3 linked regions of the Canis lupus familiaris genome follow. The main gene of each other region encodes a partner of the protein of the gene in region 2 in a complex. Links are inferred from orthologs where the notes say so. Each region holds a gene or a part of one and is shown on either strand. Other genes may lie near its edges.

What was found.
Region 1: the proteins of UBE2E2 (region 2) and DET1 are in contact, whole or in part, in a cryo-EM structure (PDB 9BJZ), measured with the Homo sapiens proteins. The link is inferred for Canis lupus familiaris from reciprocal best matches to the Homo sapiens genes UBE2E2 and DET1. Residues at the interface, in NP_001357154.1 of Homo sapiens: Ala77, Gly78, Pro79, Lys80, Gly81, Arg88, Ser89, Thr90, Gly101, Val103, Phe105, Phe123, Arg124, Thr125, Arg126, Ser134, Gln135, Gly136, Gln194, Trp195, Arg198, Tyr199, Ala200, Thr201; in NP_001137546.1 of Homo sapiens: Arg258, Phe259, Tyr261, Asp264, Thr267, Val268, Phe272, Glu274, Asp289, Pro290, Phe291, Ile292, His297, Arg298, Leu300, Val301, Trp304, Arg305, Phe319, Phe320, Gln321, Phe323, Asp324, Arg327.
Region 3: the proteins of UBE2E2 (region 2) and RLIM are in contact, whole or in part, in a crystal structure (PDB 6W9A), measured with the Homo sapiens proteins. The link is inferred for Canis lupus familiaris from reciprocal best matches to the Homo sapiens genes UBE2E2 and RLIM. Residues at the interface, in NP_001357154.1 of Homo sapiens: Lys52, Thr55, Lys58, Arg59, Lys62, Pro112, Asp113, Pro115, Phe116, Ile142, Asn146, Trp147, Ser148, Pro149, Ala150, Leu151, Thr152; in NP_057204.2 of Homo sapiens: Ser571, Val572, Cys573, Ile574, Thr575, Cys596, Arg599, Trp600, Pro608, Ile609, Arg611.

Annotation. Positions count from the first base shown.
Region 1 is NC_049224.1:52,246,094-52,249,648, forward strand, and holds part of DET1 (DET1 homolog), read right to left. Parts: intron 839-3,555; coding exon 651-838; intron 1-650. UniProt on the Homo sapiens protein: Component of the E3 ubiquitin ligase DCX DET1-COP1 complex, which is required for ubiquitination and subsequent degradation of target proteins. The complex is involved in JUN ubiquitination and degradation.
Region 2 is NC_049244.1:20,995,043-20,999,397, forward strand, and holds the start of UBE2E2 (ubiquitin-conjugating enzyme E2 E2), read right to left. Parts: upstream 2,823-4,355; 5' UTR 2,720-2,822; intron 1-2,719.
Region 3 is NC_049260.1:58,047,708-58,051,880, reverse strand, and holds the start of RLIM (E3 ubiquitin-protein ligase RLIM), read left to right. Parts: upstream 1-1,367; 5' UTR 1,368-1,583; intron 1,584-3,365; exon of another isoform or gene 3,366-3,429; intron 3,430-3,863; exon of another isoform or gene 3,864-3,933; intron 3,934-4,173. UniProt on the Homo sapiens protein: E3 ubiquitin-protein ligase.

The sequences.
Region 1 (3,555 bases), on a different chromosome or scaffold from region 2:
TCTGGAGCAAGGCAACCTGTTTCTTGATGGCTAAATTCTGCAGTCTTAAGTTTTTGTTCTCTGGAGTGTGCCAAGTCATAGGTTACCGCTGATCAATTAGCTTATCAGCTCCCGACACTGATTCAGATCCCTCTCCTGTTGCCAATCATCTCCCGTCTTCAATGTCTCTCCTCTCCCATTCTCTTTGCTCTTGTTAAATGTATACCTCTTACTGCTTTATTGTCATTTTAGTGGGGTTTGGGGATGGAGCAGAGATAAACACATGTGCTCAACACATCATGTTTAACCAAAAGTTCTAAAATTATTTCCTTAGTCATTCACTGAAAAAATGCTTAAATGCTTGACAGTGCATCATGAGACTATAAGAATAAATAATAAAGATATAGTCTCTACCTTTCTGCATCTCTTAGGCAGCTCTCACACTGCTCTCCTTCCTCTAGGAGGAATCACAGATAACGCACAACTAATTCCATAGGTGCTGAGAGACAGAAGTTCAGGATGACCCAAGGGATTACAACAGGCAGACCTAACCAAAGCGAGGTAGCAGAGAGAATATCGGAAGGGTTTTTTGGAGGACATTACTACTGGCCTAACACCAGTGAATTGTCTAAAGAAAAATTAAGCCTGTTAAGCCTGGTGGAAGAGCTTACCGGCGCTGGATCTGCCTTGCAAAATTGTTGCTGGAAGCTGAGCAGGGAAACTGGACTTCACTGTGTAGGGTTGCATTACGGAAGAGGTCACAGAAGTTCTCAAAGAGCTCTAGAAGCTCATCTGATGTATTCTCAAACACGGCAATCACCTCTGTTGTCACCATATTGTACACCACAAAGAAAGATGCCTGCAGAAGAACAGAGACAGCTATGAGACAGCTGGGTATACAGCCATGCCTTGGAAACCTACCACTTGGTTGAAAATTCAAAGTACTCAAGTAAAACAAGCAAACACTTCTCCTGCACTAGCATAAAAATGTGGCTCCAGGTGGTTCTGGGAGAGGAGGAAGCCTCAGTAAACTTTATCAGCCAAGGGCCATCAGTTATGGTCAGAACTGCTGGATTTACCACCGTATCTGTGCTGCTAGAATTACTGAACTGGCCCACATACATGTGTAGAAAGGTTTCCAATCTTGCATTTCTGACTCTGCAAATTCAATATTTTTCCTTCCTACTCTTTATTCCCCCTCCTTGCTACCCAACCCAGCCTGAAATAAAAAGCACTTTTTTAAAATGCCAGATTTAATTTTCCTTCCTGCTGAGAAAGTGATTGGTAGCCTGTAGCTGCCTGTTGGCAAATTATTTTCTCTTGTATATGTACAGTTGAAAGTTCAATTTAGGGACATTTATTTTCCTTCTTAAGATTTCTAACATGCAGAGAGAAACCTGAAGTACACTGTGTCCTAAAACTGCCCAGGCAAGTTGTAACCAAGCAGGGAACTGCTGCTGAACAAATGAAAAATCAGGGAGGCATTTTCCATTTCTTTCTTCATAAATGTTCTTTCAGCCAAGAGCATTTGGACGATACATTTGAGATTTGTAGCAATTAAGATCAGAGGGGGAACCTGAAAAGCATTCAAATGCCATAGGTGGCAGAGTTTTCTACTTTCTCTGAATGGGCCCTGGGTGACTAGCCCTCTAAACAACCAGTGCTCTGCTCTACCTAACAAGGAAGCCCCAGGAACCCCTGGTTTTTGTCACAATGAATGTGGTAGTGTGAATCAATCGGCAAGCTTGATCTAGAAGTTTCCAGAACATTAAGGTTAGTACTCCCCCTCCTATGACTGAGTTTAAGTCTCTGTCATCAATTCCTAGAGCCACAGTGCCCACCTGTTTTATTAGTCATTAGTCCTTCCCAGAGCTTTCATTACATGACTTTTACAGTCACCTGGAAATTAAATATGGCTGTAAATTAAGGAGGCTGGAGAGTAACCTGAGAATAATACCCATAATATCAGCAAGGCTTTGTATGTAGGTGCACTTTTTACTCATTAACCTTATTGGAACCTCTCAAATTAAAACGGGGAAAGGGGTGGGAGGACAACTAGGGCAAACTGGGTTTAAGGTTACAAACTCTGTAAGCAAAACACTGAGCTCTAGTACTGATTCCAGCCACAATTCATTATAACTACCAGAAATAAGTAGGTCATGTTTTAGCAAAGGGAAGGAGGATAATCTCAAACGCGGCTATCGCAGATAACTTATGCCCTCCAAAAGAAAAAGGTAATTATAGCTCAAACCTAAATAAAAGATTGACTCATGTCCTTTCTATAGACCTGGACAACACTTTGATCATTATCAGGGCTCCACCAGGATCCATCACAATTATGTGAATATAAAATTACACAAACTTTACTAGCCTTCCCTCCAGGACAGACTGGGAAATACAGGACAGAAGGTGAAAGGAGCCAAGAGTGTCACTGACAATCTCCTATGAAACGTAACGTGAACTAGATGCTCATCTGTGATGGCTCAATGGGTGACTTCATCATTAACAGGGAAGAAAAGAATCCAGAAAAACTATCTCCAACCATATTACTCCCTGCCACCCACCTTTGTTTAGAATATACAAGCTATGATTCCAAAGAAAAGTACTGGAAAACATTTTACCATGGATGACTGGTAAGGTCTTAGGAAACAATGGCCTGTACAGTCTCTTGCAATAGAACCAACTGCAAGTCAGTGGGAGATACAACACTCAGCCCTCTTTGTAGCTGACTGGTTTGCTCTCTATTGTGATTTCCCAAATTCACACCTAAGGAGACATTCTGCAAATGGGAGAATAGGTGGCAAAGGTACAGAAAGGTAGGTCTCTTACTCCATCAACACTAAAGTAGAGAGTTTCTCAAAGAAAAATGCCCAAAAGTAGCCTGAATTTCAACATGGTATTTCAACCCAAGAGTCCTGGGAGGTTTCTGTGCCCTTAACACCCCTAGGTTCCCATTTAAGAAATAGCTCTCTCCCCTCCAAGATCTTTCATCCACACTGAAAAACCCTAGGACCTTTGGTCGTGATGATTCACTTGAGAGATCATAAGTCTTGGCTTCCTTTTAATTTTTTCACTGCTCTCCAACCTATGGTCCAGCACATGGGTATGGTCAGGATAAAGTCATAACACTCAACTGTTAGATGAACTTACCTATTAGTTACCTCCCAAAGGTTTTATGAAGACATGCACTGACATTATCCATTTAAGCAGGAAAGAGAGACCAAATTTTTAGAAAATTTTTGTGGCATGGTGGGCTCATTCTCATTCCTAGAACTAAAGAGGTCAGACCAAAAAGCCACAGTCTCAGAAAATCAGGGCAGGGTTATCCACAGGTAGTCCAAATTTTGACCTTGTAGCACTTGGGCTTCTATCTCAAGGATACTGAAAATGCTCTGGTCAAGTATTAGGATAATGATCACAGAGTTGACTACCCACATATCAATGGCTTGAGACTGAGCTTCCATTCATCCAAATAAATACATGTGGCCAGAGAAAAATGGAACTGTTTTAAGTCTGAGGCCAAGGATAACAAAAACTCAAGAATACATAAAATGCACATTTCTGAGAGGCTGGCTA
Region 2 (4,355 bases):
AAAAAACCCCAACGCATGGGGGTGGCTTGGGTGGCTCGGTCTAATTTCAACTCAGGACCTGATCTCAGGGTCCTGGGATGGAGCCCACATCAGGCTCTACACTCAGCAGGGAGTCTGCTTGTCTTTCTCCCTTTGCTTCTCCCACTGCTCATGTTCTCTTTCTCAAATAAATAAATAAAATCTTAAAAAAACACAAAACCCCAAACTCTTTGTAACAACCTCCTATTTGGTTTGTCACACATTGGTATCACACTACCATGTGATAGTGTTGCCAATTTTAAAGTGTCTTAAATATTTGTGTCTATTTATCAGAGATTTTCAGAGGTTTTTGAACTATTTTTATGAACCCTGGGATACTTACAGGAATGTATAGTGTTTCTATTCATTTCTCACATATATGGAGTTAGTTTATTTATTTTTGGCCAGTTAGCCCTGCTTTACTTGTTTGGCAATTCTTCGTGAATTTAAATTTCATCTCCAGCTCTGAGTTTTCCAGAAGCAAACTCAAAAAAAAAAAAAAAAAAAAAAAAAAGGGTGCTTCCTTCCTTTAGTTTATATACTGACAAATTTTGTCAATGCAGTGCAGTTTTACAATTTAAGAAATTATAATTTTGGAGAGCTATTCCTCCATTTTCTCTGTTATTTTGTTTTTTCACATGCAAAGCTCATTTTCCCCTAAGGATTCCAACTTATTTAGATGAATTTTCACCATTTTGATAGGATATTTCTTTTTTATACAATAGCCTTAATAAAGAAATAACAAATTTTTGATTGGATATGCCTGAAAACAACATTAGGCTTTTTTATGTTATTTTAGCATTGGAATGTGAAAGAAAGTGGTAAGAAATACTTGTCTGTACAATGGCTCATTGATTAAGTATTTTGATACTGATAAGCATTGTTGACCCTGTTATTCCAAGGACACTATTTTAGTCTGTTTGGGCTGCTTTAACAGAACGCAACACACCAGGTGGCTTATAAACAATAGAAATTTATTTCTCATAGTTCTGGATACTTGGAAGTTTAAGGTCAAGGTGCTAGCAGATTTGGTGCCTGTTGAGAATGTACTTCCTAGTTCATAAACAATTACCTTCTTGTCATGTTCTCATATGGTGAAAGGGACAAGGGAACTCTCTGGATTCTTTTATATAAGGTCTCCATCCTCATGATCCAGTCAATTCCCAGAGGCCCTGCCTTCTAATACCATCACATTGGGTGTTAGGTACTTTACATATGAATTTTGGGGGACAAACATCCAATCTATAGTATATACTAATATTGACTTTATGTAGTGTTACTAATTTTGTTTAAGCAATCCTTTGGCACATTTGCCATCACTAAATTATTGTAGCAGTTTTAAACTTAAAAAAATTGAATTTTCTCCATATTTGACATACTTTATCTCATAATTATCAACTATAGTAGGAATTATTGCGTCCATTTTACAGGCGAGAAAACTAAGGCTCAGAGAAGTTAGTAACTTTTCAAAGGTCTCTGACCCAAGTCAAGATTTAGTGCAAGAATGAGATTGAGTTCATTTGAATTTACTCTTTCAAATCTCTTTAAAAAAGCATAACAATCATGTTCATTTTGACAGGTTTTCATGATAGTAATTTTTAATGGTTTCATTTAGAAAGACTGTATGTAGTTGTTACCTAGACAATTATAGGCTTCTTCAGAGGGCCTAATGTAGCAGATGCTCCCAGTGTCTCATTCTTATCCCCTTGGCGCTTATTATGTCCAGGCACACAGCTAACCTCCCATTACTAGCACATGTATGTCTTTATAGGCAACAGGTACTGGGAATTCATGCCCTCCCCCTCCCTTGACGTGTTCATTATTGTCTTCTATATGCCAAATGTATATGTGTACCTTCCCTCCCACCCCAAAATCCATATGTTGAAACTCAATGCCCAATGTAATGGTATTAGGAGGTGGGACTTTTGGAAGGCGCTTAGATCATGAGAGTGAAGTCCTCTATAAAAGACACCCCATAGAGCTCCTTCTGTGATGTGAAGAATAGCTAGAAGGCACTATCTAGGAACCTGAAAAAGTGCTCTCACCAGACTGAATTTGCCTGGGTCTTGATCTTGGACTAGTCTCCAGAACTATGAGGAATATATTTGTTGTTTATGAGCCACCCAGTTTATGGTATTTTATTACAGCAGCCCGAACAGAATATGCCATTCACTTTCTTCTCTTTCCTGTTTTACTTCCCTTCTCCATTAGTGGTATTTTTTTTTTTTTGGATCACCTCCGAATGAACTACTTTCCCTTGAATCTTTATTTCAAAATATGTTTCTGGGATAACTCAAACTAAGACACCACCTTACCTATTTGTTATGGATATTGGAAGTAAACCTAGTAAACCTTATGGCCTGGAGCATCCAATCTCAGGTTGGGGCCCTCTCATTCTGGAATTTACAAAGATGGCTTCTCATTTGCCTGGCCAGTTGTCTGTTCCTTGCTTTTGCCTCCTTATCTATATTTTATTTGACTGCAGACTAGAATTCCCAGTTCCCTGCTCTGACTCTTTCCTTCCTTTTTTAAAAAATTTTTGATTTTTGGCAATGCATTTGGGGCTGACTCTCTGGTTAGTCACCTTATCTACCTAATCTCTTGACACTGAGCATTACTTCCATATATTAGTTATCTATTGTTGCATAACAAATTACTACAAATCTTAGTAGCTTATGATAATAAACATTTGTTATCTTACAGTTTCTGCAGGTCAGGAATCTGGGTGCAGCTTAGCTGAGTGCCTCTGGCTTAAGTTGACAGTTAAACTGTCAGCTAGAAGTGTGGTCTCATATGAAGGTTTGATTGAGGGAGATCTGCTTCCAAATTCACTCATGTAGTTGTTGAAAAGCTTTGGTTCCTGGCCATACAGTTCTTTCCACAGGACTGCCTCATGACATGTGTATTAGTCTACTTGGGCTGCCATAACAAAATACTGCAGCCCGGGTAGCTTAAATGCCAGACGCTTATTTTCTCACAGTTATGAAGGCTAGACGTCCATAGTCAAGGTCTTGACAATTTTAGCTTCTGGTGAGAGTGCTCTTCCTGGCTTTTAGACAGTGGCCTTCTCACCATGTCCTTACATGGCCTTATTCTGTGCATGTATGGAGAGAGAGATTTCTGATGTCTCATCTTCTTTTTATAAGGACACCAGCCTTTATGTCCTCATTTGACCTTAATTACTTCTCTAGAGGTCCCATCTCCAAATACCATCACATTAAGGGTTAGGACTTCAACATACAGACTTTGGGAGAGACACATTTCAGTGTGTGACACAAGGTACAGGAGACAGTGAGAGAGCAAGTGAGAAAAGCATCCATAATGGAAGCCATAGCCTTTTCTAATCTCATCTTGAAGGTGACATCCCATCACTTCTGCTGTGTTCTATGTGGTAGAAGTGAGTGCATAAGTTTAACCCACGCTCAAGAAGAGAAATTTAAACAAAGGTGTGAATTTAGTAGGTGAAAATCATTAGGAGTATACAGGAGAAACTCTCTTGCTTTACTCACACACATAATACTTATGACACTACATACATGGGTCTTGTTTCCCCCACACACCAAGGCAATTCTCTGTGACATCAGCTGGATGTCCTACACTTTAATTCAATTTAATTCTGACTTGCTAGAGTTAGTGCAGATCCCGTACGTTAAGGGCTAAATCCACAAGACTGCTCTCAACTTCAAATACCAATAGTGAGTAGTAAGTTCCCAGGTTACCCACAACTTCTGTATGATTTGGTTACAAAAGAAGTTCCCACAGCCCCCTCCTTGGAGTTGATCATTTGCCAGAATAGCTCACAGAACTCAGGGAAACAATTACATTTACCAGTTTATTATATAATGAAGGATATGATAAAGGATACCTATGAACAGTCAGATGAAGAGATACATGGGGTGAGGTGTGGAAAGATTCTGAGTGCAGGAGCTTTTGTCTTTGTGGAGTTGGGATGTGTCACCCTTTCCAGGAGATAGATATGTAGGTAGAACTTCCAGCCAGGAAGTTCTCTGAACCCCCCCTTCAGGGATTTTAATGGAGCCTTCATCATGTAGGCAAGATCAATGATAAACTCCATTTCCAGTGTCCTTTCCTCTCCAGAGAATGGACAATGTGAGTATAGTAGATATGCGGTGTACCTCCATGGTAGGCTGCAATACCCCTATCTCAGTAGGTTGCTGTGAGAATTAAATAAGGTTATACACATATAGCACCCCAAATTTTATAATTTCTGAGAGCAAGCATTCATGAGGGATTTTACTAGTGACTAACAGGTTTGATTCCTGGAGAGAAGCATTCATGAGACAATAAACTAGGGAAGAATACTAACGTGATTGGGT
Region 3 (4,173 bases), on a different chromosome or scaffold from region 2:
AAACAAATGAATAATATGCTTTCAGATTAAGTACTTTAAATTAAATTAAGCAGTTAAGGGGATGGGGAAGTTGTTATTTTAGCGTCGTTAGGGAAGACTCCTCTGGGGAGAGGAGTCATTGAGAAGATGCTTAGTTGATGAGAGCAAAGATATGAAATGAAAATATTGTAGCCTAGGGCAGCCCGGGTGGCTCAGCGGTTTAGCGCCGCCTTCAGCCCAGGGCGTGATCCTGGAGACCCAGGATGGAGTCCCATTTCGGGCTCACTGCACCGAGCCTGCTTCGACCTCTGCCTGTGTCTCTGCCTCTCTCTCCGTGTGTCTCTCATGAATAAATAAAGTCTTAAAAAAAAGAAAATATTCTAGCCTATATATAGTTATAGAGGTGGGAACAAGTTTGGTTTGTTGGAAGAATATTGAGAAAACGTGTAGTGGCAGTGTTATCTGGAAACAGAAAACAAAAAAATGTAAAAAGAAACACAGAAACACCCTAAAAACTTGGACAAGATTGTTTTTTTAAGTTAACTGTGAAAACAGGAATTGGATGCTGTGTGGTCGGTTCCCTAACTTCCTTCAGGCATTAATACCATCTAAGAAAGGCCTTCCTTAACTGTCTTTTTACAAATTCCAACGTTATCAGATTTTCCCATCCTGTTACAATCATCGCCCCTTTTCAAGCATTTCAGAAAATTACCATCTCAGAGAGGCCATCTCTAACCACTCTTTAAAATTGCAATTCCCATTTACCCCCACCCAGCACTCTCCCACCCCACCCCCTTTCCGAATCTTTTTTCTCCCCAGCATTTATCACCGATAGATATAGATATATAGTAATTATTGTCCCTCCCCCAAGTACTAGGAACCATGAGAAAGTAGAATATAAAGAACCGTAAGAACTGGGATTTTGGTCCGTTTTAATTTCCGTTGTATTCCCAACATCTACTACAATGCTTGACATACAGTTGGCACTCGATAAATATATGTTGAATAAAAGGTAAGACGCTGTTCAACTTAGTCTGGACCAATTGTGTGAATTGACGCCAGGTTGGACTAGTATCGCATTTCTCGCTCTCTGAAAAGGGCTTCAAGCAGTCAAGTGGTGACGTTCTTCAGTTTTCAAAAACGGGAGAGCTAAGGTTCCCACAGTTCTCAGAACGCGAATTTCTCGCCACAATTCAAAATGGCGGAGGAGGGTGGGGCCTGTCACATGGTGGGCGTCACAGCAGCTCTCCTTTTCCAGACTGCTGGCCCGCCTTGCCGCGTCGTCTGCTGCCCCCTTCTTCCTCCCGCCGAGCCTTTTCGAGGAATCGCCTGGGATTGGCTAATAGGCTGGGAGTGGGGCTGCAGGGCCGGGACGCGGCATCATCACTTCCTGTTGTGGGCTGTCGTTTCCTGTCGCTGCTTGGTAACAATGGGGAAGATAATGGCTGCCTGAGCAACGTCTCGGAGCAGGCGCTAGGCTAGAGGCGGGTCTCAACCAGCGACTCATCGGAGGCGGGCTTGAGAGCAGCGGCAGGGGAGGCGCGCAGGATCCTCAGCGGCGGCAGCAGCCAAACCGACGGAGTCGGACCCGACACTAAAACCGAGTAAGTGAAGCCTTGGGAAATCCTCTTGAGAAATGGATGGAGAGCGAGGGAAAGACAGCGGAGCTGCAGCTGCCGTGTTCTCTCAAAATGGCCTGAGTCCCGCGTTGTGGCGGACGCTCAGCACCGCCTCCGGACCCCAGGCGCTGATTGCTGCGGGGGGCTCCGTGGCGTAGTCGCCGCTGCCATTTTAGTCACAGTCTCTTGAAGAAGGGGAAGGAGGTGGGTAGTACTTCCTCTCCGTGGCGGTGCGAGCCAAAGCCGGGGGCCCTCCACAGTCTGGAGAAATTGGGGGAGGCGATTTTTGAGTGTTGGCCTCAGGCGTGAGAATCTTTGATAGTCTTAAATTTTTCTCTTTGGTTATCTGGAGGCGTCCCTCGCCTTCCCATCCCCCCTTTTATATGGCGGGCTTGGGTTTGGGAAAAGGGGGAAATATCAGTCTGCTCTAAGTCAGCTGCTGGGAACTCTTGGGCCTTAGATTTCCCAGGATTTGCAAAACCCCATTTTGAGCCCTTTTGCTGGGTACTATCAATTAGGCGCCCCCTGGGGCCACGATGACATCTTCCCTGAGGATCCGGGGCAACTGTGGTTTTGCTCCCTTACTCAATAACCCTGGCATAGCCCTTGCCAGATATCACTGCAAGGATCCCCTGAAAAGGCAGGGAAAAGCCATTGCGTGTTGTTTTTTCCCTGGGTAAGGGTGGGAATTGGGCCAAATGATTTTCAACTTAATTTCCGTTCAATCCGGCAACAACCCAACCCCTCCCCCCTCAAAGAGAAAAGCCTAAGGGTCTCGGCTTTTGCGGGCGGTACCTGCCACGTACGCCATAGCTTTAGTAACTAGTATTAACCGGTTGGGCTTCTGCTTCCTGAATACTCAGTCCCTTTTTCCCTTATGCTGATTAATTTCAAGATGGAGGAGACAGCCACGTTCCTTCCCTAGACAGTTTCCCCATACTTATTCCACAGGTTACTCTGGGAATCTGAGGCCTAGCAGTCTTGTTATTTAGGTCATTCTTTTTGTTTGGGGGCAAGAGGAAGCATTTATATCAGGTTGTCATCCACCATTTGCGAGGTCCCACATTAATTTTTTGGTGCAAATAAAGAGCCCGCATTTCCTCAATCAGAATTAACCGCAGTCGCTTTGGATGATTGAAGGGAGGAAGAAATAAATGTACTATAGTCGTTTCTACTACTAGAAACATGTATTTGATTCTTCCTCATTAAAGACAAAATTACTCATATCACCCTATCAGGTACGTTATGTCCATCCTGAATGACTTGCGACCAGGCAGGCACAATTAGAGCCCTCCAAAAATCAGTTTTCTAGATTATAAAAATAAAGTACCCAGGAAGACCAATCCAGATGCTTTTTAAAGTATGATTTAGGAAACTGTTGCACTGAAAAATGTTTCATTCTTTAGCCTAAGTATCTTGATGATCTTTCATACTTTAGTTTCTCCATAGACTACTGTAATGTGCCAAGTAAGTCCTTGAAAGTATCAGAATCTGAAAATATTACTGGTTTGAAAAAGAAAGGCCTATTTTAAGCAAGCTTATATTAAAAGGTAGATTGGCTTTCAGCCTTTAAAGAAAATCTGATATCTAACACAAGATTCCTGGTTTCCTCTGACCTTCTCCATCTTCCCAAATATCCTAATTAGGTTGGGTTATGGGGTGTGTAACTTAAGATATATAGGATGTGTTTTTTTGAGGATGTGTCTATTTCATAGAAAATGTGTATCTTATGAAAGAGGAAGAATAATGGATTCTTTTTTTTTCTAGAGCAGAGAGTGAAGAAAACTAAAATCCAGTTTATTGTATTACAATACTATGTCATAACAGTCAGGTAATTTATTTTTTGTTGCGTCTCCTGATGATTTATGTGTAGAATGCATGTTTAAAAATATTTATTTTGTATTGCAGGCCCTGTAATTGGATGGGCTTATTTGATATATGTTTATTGGTGTTGGGCATTTTTCATAATGAGAATGGGTATTTTTCATTGGGAATTCAAAGGGTAGTGTGTCTGAATAACTGAAACTCTGCTAGTGTTTATCTGTGAATTTTCCTCTTTTAAAATAATGTCTGAAGTTTACCAGTACCCATATAAAACAGAAAGAACAAAATAGAAATTTGCTGCTTTAAATCATTGTTGGTGGGATGGGTCTAAATAAATAGCGTTTAAATGTTCATTGAATAACTAAATGAAATATCAGTAGAATATCTTGCAGGAATGTAATCTTACATTATTTTGTGTGGTGTTCATTTTTTTCCTTTAAGATCCAAAATGTCATAATTAATATATAATACTCTGATATTAACTCCTTTCATCATCATCATCATTGTTAAGGTAAGCACATAATTTATTGCCTTAACCAGGATGCTTTTTTTATGCCAACAGGTGCAAACCTGTATTGTGCCAAGCAAACGGGGATGGAGTTAGCCTAAATTCATAACTAACTTGAATGCTTATGTGCTGTGTCCTGTGCTTCACATGCATGACTTTATAATCTTCACAGCAAAGCCTTGTGAGGATATTAGCTGTTTTACCTAGTTAACTGAGACTCAAGGAAGTTAAACATTTTGTCCT